Linked DNA regions of Neurospora crassa OR74A. The protein of the gene in region 1 purifies or fractionates together with the protein of each later gene. This does not show direct contact. Links are inferred from orthologs where the notes say so. Each region holds a gene or a part of one and is shown on either strand. Other genes may lie near its edges.

Region 1 (2,476 bases):
CTGTTTGCGAGTAAAAAGTCAACTTAAATGAATGCGCCTTCCCATCTTCAGCCATTCATTCCCTCACTGTTTCCTCCTCCTCTCATTAAAAATCGAGATCCATTGATAACAAACACCTTCCACTACAATCGTCCGGGCCCCGTTCGACGTTCGTTCCTGCCTCTGCTGTGCGTTGCGTTGCGTTGCGTAATGTCCGGGCAAGTGAAATGAATCCATCCGCTCATATTCACGAAGGAGGAAGGAGCCATGCGAAATGTCAAGTTGCGCGAAAAGGTACCTCTACCACTTCCGGACGTCGGTAGTAATGAAGGAAAAGGGAGGAGTGTCGGTACAGTACTAGTACGAAGGAGAAACGGGTTGCGCGTCCCATCTTTCCTTCCATTTGCTTCGTTCATCATTGTTACTCACTCACTACTTACGTACCTCTACACTCGATTGGGATCTAATCGTGAACGGGACGGATTTTGGTGAAGGAAAGCGGGGAACAAATACCAGACATGCAAATTTAACATCATGATACCTGTACGTACGCCAAATGAACCTTACGATGAAGAGTTAGTTACACGTGGGACAGACATTGATTTTCGCGCAAGTTGATACCATGTGGAAACGGAACATGATTCCAACTTTTCGCTAGGTACCTATCCAGTCATTCTCGAGAACCGATGGTGAGACCATGAACTACATACACAAAAAGACAATCTCATTACAGATCCGAAGCATCGCCGTCACTGAATGTACATATATTCGGTTCACCAACGAAGCACTTCAACATGAACGACTCCATATATTCGTCCCATTCCAAACTACCATCTTATCTTTCATTATTTCAAATCATACTATCACACCACCAAACGAAGCAAGAGGGTATAGAACTAGAACAAAAAAAGTAAACAAAAGCCAAATCATAAAACTCCATCCAACCAACCAACCATCCCCCAAGGATATATCCTTCCAAAACCATGCAAAATGACGCCCCCCCTTTTCCTTTTCTGTATCACTCACTATAAGTGCCTGGCTGCTTTTGAGATCCCATCTCAGATGCCTAACTTGTAAAACACATGACGCTGTAACCTATGCTTGCAAGTTGACCCAAAACTAATCTGCCTTCCTTTGTTCCCTTCTTGGGGAGAGGCAATGTTTTGTTGAAAGCAAAAAAAACACAAAAAGAAAAGTTGCGTCTGAGATCGCATAGAGGGTGGAGTAGTAGAAGAAGAAGAAGAAAAAAAAAAGAGGAAAGAAATGCGAGGACGCTGATAGGTGAAGATGGCGTATCCGGGATATCCAAAATTGGAGGAAGATGCAAGAGCAGTCAACATGGGTAGTTGAAACCCGACATGCTCTCATCGTTCCCAAGTGACGGAAACCCCAGCCACCACCTCACTGCCGACAGGGCTTGAAGGAATGTAACCGAATCGTTCCATCCTCACTGCCACTGGCCATTAGACTATCGCTCAGCCCGACACAAGTCACGGGTCCGCAGTGGCCCGTATACGTCGCATCGCACTTTCCGCTGCGCGGCTCCCACGTCTTGACCATGCCGTCGTTGGCTCCACTGATCACACGGATCGTATCTCCCGCCAAAGACCAAACGCCCTCGAGGTGGCCAAACAGCGTCCTCAAACACCGACCGGTCGCGCTGTCCCAGAGACGCATGGTGCTGTCGAGCCCGCCTGTCATGAAATAGCGCGGGGGAAGTGGCCGTGACTCGTCGGCTACAAAGGCGGATCCATAGAGATGGCGCACGTCCTCGTCACCACTAGGCAGGCTGCTCGGTAGCAGGTTGTGGCTGGAGCTATGGCTGCCAGGGCTGCCGGCGCGCTCGATTTGTGCATGCGACATGGAGGGGCTTCCGCTTCCGCCCGATGATACTGACATGGCGTCTTGGTTGTCTTGCGAAGCACCGTTGAGCACCTCCTCGTCGGGCTCATACTCGGGCGGGAGGATGAGGACCTGTTGCACATGGCCGACATGTCCTTCGTAGGTCCGGATAACCTGGCGCGTGTCCAGATCCCACAGCTTGATGGTCGTGTCATCCGAGGCGGAGAACACGGTTCGGCTCTTGATGTCAACATGGGTCGAGTTGACCCAATCGCTATGGCCCTTGAGGCAGTATGTCTCCTTGGAGTTGAAGTCGAAAATCTTGACCGTCTTGTCGCTCGACCCACTGGCGAGTAGGTGGCCATCGAAGTGAACGCTAATCACTGAGTCGGTGTGGGCAGCGAACGTGGAGAGGCACTCGCCGGTATGCCAGTTCCAGACCTTGATGGTGTCTACGAATCAGTTAGCAACATTGCCACGCTATCATTGAAGGCGGGTTGCGCAACATACGGTCAAGACTGCCACTGATGAGCTTCGAATCGTCAAACTGTAGTGCACGAATGCCAGCCGTATGGCCGACAAGGGTCCGAATGCACTCCTCAGTCTCAATGTTCCCTGTCAGCAATGTGTTAGTTTAAAGCGAGCACCAATGTTT
Region 2 (4,214 bases), about 2.6 Mb from region 1:
CAGGGGTCTTGCGGAGCTGAGCCTTGAGAATACCGAGACGACCCGCCTCATCAGGAAGGGGAACGTAGATGAGGGAGTCGAGACGGCCGGGACGGCAGAGCGCTGGGTCGAGCTGCTCGGGACGGTTGGTAGCACCAATAACGAAAACATTCTTCTTGGAGGTCATGCCGTCCATTTCTATAGCTCAGGTTAGTATGCACAGCAGAATGGCACAAACCAAGGAAGAATCAACTTACCGGTAAGAAGCTGGTTAACAACACGGTCAGAAGCGCCACCAGCATCACCAACAGAGCCACCACGGGCCTTGGCGATAGAATCCAACTCGTCGAGGAAGACGACGCAAGGAGCAGCAGCGCGAGCCTTGTCGAAGATATCACGGATGTTGCTCTCAGACTCACCGAACCACATGGAAAGCAGTTCGGGACCCTTGACGGAAATGAAGTTGGCTGCGCACTCGTTGGCAACAGCCTTGGCCAACATTGTCTTACCGGTACCAGGAGGACCGTAGAAAAGAACACCGCGAGATGGCGAAAGGCCAAACTTGAGGAACTTTTCGGGATGGTCGACGGGGTACTGGACACTCTCCCTGAGCTCCTGCTTGACAGTCTCGAGACCACCGATATCCTCCCAGCGGACGTTGGGAACCTCGACAACGGCAACCTCGCGAAGAGCCGAGGGGTTGGAGACACCGAGAGCAAAGCGGAAGTTCTCTTGGGTAACACCAAGAGAGTCAAGGACCTCGGCGTCGATAGTGTCTTCGTCCAGATCGATGAGATCCATCTTCTCACGAATCTGCTGCATGGCAGCCTCGGAGCAGAGGGCAGCAATATCAGAACCAACGTAACCGTGGGTCTCAGCAGCAATCTGCTCGAGATCGACGTCATCGGCAAGCTTCATGTTCTTGGTGTGGATCTGGAGAATCTCAAGACGACCGGTAGGGTCGGGGATGCCGATATCGACCTCGCGATCGAAACGGCCGAAACGACGGAGAGCGGGATCGATCGAGTTGGGACGGTTGGTGGCAGCCATAACAACAACGTTGGAACGGGCCTTCATACCATCCATGAGAGTAAGGAGCTGGGAGACGACGCGGCGCTCAACCTCGCCGTTGGTCTTCTCACGCTTGGGGGCGATCGAGTCGATCTCATCAATGAAGATGATAGCGGGCGAGTTCTTCTCAGCCTCCTCGAAAGCCTTGCGCAAATTCGACTCGGATTCACCGGCCATCTTGGACATGATCTCGGGGCCGTTGATCAAGAAGAAAAAGGCACCAGTCTCGTTGGCAACAGCGCGAGCCATCAAAGTCTTACCGGTACCAGGAGGGCCATAAAGCAGGACACCACGGGGCGGCTTGATACCAATGGACTTGAAAAGCTGAGGATGCCTGAGGGGCAGCTCAACCATTTCGCGGATCTGAGCCATCTGCTTACGGCAACCACCAATATCATCGTAACCAACCTCGTTGAGGTTGTTCTCCTCCTCGTCACGCTGGATGGGCTCGCCCTCGCAGTGGATGACGGTATCCTGAGCGACAATACCGTACTCTGGTGGGTCCACCTCGACGACCTTGAACTCGACTTGCCTCATACCACCGCGGACAATAAAGAGATCGCCTTGCCTGACAGGGCGGTAGGCCTCGCGGAAGTAGGGAGCAAGGAAGACGTCGAAGAGAGATCCGGTGATGCCCTCAACGGTATCGGCGATCGGGAGGACGGCAATACGCTTGGCCTACAAGGAGATGCTGTGTCAGCAAGGTGCCCATTCTATGACTAGGTGACCGGGTTATAGACTAACATATTTGATATCGGGACAAGGGTGAATGGTGATGATGTCGCCGTGCTTGACACGGAGGTTGTGGCGAACGACACGGTTGAGGCGTGCGCTGCCATCGTCAAGATCGTCATCGGCAAGAACAATCAAGACGGTGTCCTTTCTCTTCTTTCCGCGGACGAGAACGGTATCACCACGGAAGAGCTGGAGCTGCTCCATGGTGTTGTTGGAGAGGGCGATAATCGAGTTATCATCGTTGACGGCGTCAGTAACCCTGCATATGTGTTAGCTCAGGTTGCAGTGCCCCGCATCTTCAACGTCAACCTACATCAACTGGTTGGGCTTCTTCTTCTTCTTGAGAATAGCAGTGGCGGTATCATCTTCCTGTTCCATCGGTCAGCACGAGTGGTTCTCGAGATGTCTTTGGCGGGCAAGCGAGGTTGAACATACGGCCTTGTGCTCGGCACCAGAAGCGTCCCTGTTTGGCTTCAAGTCAGCTTGGCGTCATTCGCGATGAGGGGGCGCGACAGCTTCGAGAGCTCCCGCGATCAGCGTCGCTGCTTCACGTACATCAAGTTGACCTTCTTCTTCTGCTCGACGTGGTCGGGATTAGGTTCGGGAGCCATCTTGACGTTTGTGTTGGAATCAGTAGAATAAATGTGGTATTTGGGTATCGCGGACGGTGATGCTAATCCACGGAGAGGATGTAGCGGGAAGAAGTGGTTTTGGAGAAAAAGAAACCAGAATTCGTAGCCTCAAGACCCGCTGATAAAGGGATTCTTTGGAGGTTGGACGGCGAGGTGAAGGTGAATGGTGTTGGGATGGAAACAAAAAAAAGGACCAGTCGGAGGGACGAAGTGCCTTTGCGTTTTGGTGTTGGAGTTGGTTTCGTTTACGTTCAGGTTGTCACGGCCAGGCATGGAAAGGACGGTTCGAGCCAAAGCAAGCAAGCAAGCAAGCACCGCTGCGCCGGCGAGTGGCACCGACCGCTTGCTCCCTCCAAGGCCAGCCAACCAGGGGCAAGCAGCTGGTGGCCAGCAGCTGGGGAGCGGCAACAGCAACAGCGGGCATCTGATTCAACTGTCAGTGTCACTGACTGACAAACCGCCCCGCCAGGCGACCATTTGGATGACGAAGTATGAGCGGAGCCTTTTCTGGGGCGACAAAGGTCCGTGCTTTTCGCCCATAGGTACACTTCCATTCTGCCACTCTGTCTGCTTCCATGCCCTGGCTGTTCCGGGCTCCAGGCACGCCTTCTGCCATCGCTCCGAGGATCTTCAGGTCGCCCGACACACCTGGTAAAGCAACGGTGCGGCCGGAACCTTCGAATGCGTTCTACAAAGCTGCTGACAGATCAAAGCTTCATCTTGTTTGACTTGGGGTTCGTTCCATTTCTTCAGTTCGAGATTTACAGTGAATCGAGGTTCGGATGCTGCAGCACCGCTCGAGCACCGATGTCCAGATGGCCAGGCTGTCAGGTCTCTCCAAGGAAGCGAGACATGCTGCCCTGGGATTTCCTATTTGCCCCTCCCCCGCAGTACGGACAACAAGGCGGTCAGTGGTTGTCGCATGCACCACCGGATGGCCTGTACAGAGGCCACAGGCCAACGATGCTGCTAGGTAGGTATCACAGAAAACGAAATGGAACAGGACAACACGCGGAAAGTTGGCAGGCTGCAACTGTCGTCTTATCGAGATTCGAGAGAGTCCGTTTGTCCGGACGTCGCAGGAACCCGCATGCCACTTTGGGTGGAGCAAGCGAGTGACAAGAGCAAACGACGACCCTCGACCCGACCGAGAACCGGGTCCTCAGGGGTTGTAGGACACGTCCCCGCCCGTGCTTATACGAGGCGCGCGCCGGCCATACGGCTCCGCCCCGGCACGCCGATACCCAGTACGTCCCGGAGTCTCTCCCCGGACTGCTCGGCGCCCGGCTGGAAGAAGGCGGGGCTAGAAGCCAGGGAGCTCGGTACCCTTGTAACGTACTACATACATACACTACAGTAGTGTAGTACCATGGGTGTTAGCTACCCCGCTGTACATGGTGACCCCAAAGACGCTGCGGCGCGCCGCCCACCTGGCCATTCAGAGTCCAAAGGGACCTCAAGGTCCCATAGTCCAATGCCTCCACGATCCGGATCCGATATACCGTTACTACCTACTGTACAACACGCATTGAGCCAGAATGGGGCTGGAGCTCGGAGGGTGTGGCATTTCCTTTCAGGCAACAGACTAACAATCAAACCAGCCTCGACTTCAACGACGTTCACTCTCGTGGAGTCAGTGTGAGCAAGGCTTGGCAGTTTTCCGGGCACAGCTCGTTAGACATGAGGACTACCTATATTCAGTCAACTACACCCGGCCCTCTGCCTTCCAACCCAACTTGCCCCTACCCACCCCAGTCACGAGGTACCCGGGAGCCTGATTGAGTTCTAATACTCTTG

The links.
Region 2: the proteins of scon-2 (region 1) and NCU00018 purify together in Saccharomyces cerevisiae (affinity purification with western blotting, with the first as the bait; 3 studies listed by BioGRID). This does not show direct contact. The link is inferred for Neurospora crassa OR74A from reciprocal best matches to the Saccharomyces cerevisiae genes MET30 and CDC48.

Annotation. Positions count from the first base shown.
Region 1 is NC_026503.1:4,900,999-4,903,474, reverse strand, and holds the end of scon-2 (sulfur controller-2 protein), read right to left. Parts: intron 2,437-2,476; coding exon 2,332-2,436; intron 2,274-2,331; coding exon 1,381-2,273; 3' UTR 596-1,380; downstream 1-595. UniProt on the Saccharomyces cerevisiae protein: Substrate-recognition component of the SCF(Met30) complex, an E3 ubiquitin ligase complex that mediates the ubiquitination and subsequent proteasomal degradation of target proteins. Negatively regulates sulfur amino acids biosynthesis genes expression.
Region 2 is NC_026503.1:2,304,717-2,308,930, reverse strand, and holds the start of NCU00018 (cell division control protein Cdc48), read right to left. Parts: upstream 2,827-4,214; 5' UTR 2,397-2,826; coding exon 2,341-2,396; intron 2,249-2,340; coding exon 2,221-2,248; intron 2,155-2,220; coding exon 2,099-2,154; intron 2,045-2,098; coding exon 1,795-2,044; intron 1,729-1,794; coding exon 237-1,728; intron 178-236; coding exon 1-177. UniProt on the Saccharomyces cerevisiae protein: ATP-dependent chaperone which probably uses the energy provided by ATP hydrolysis to generate mechanical force to unfold substrate proteins, disassemble protein complexes, and disaggregate protein aggregates.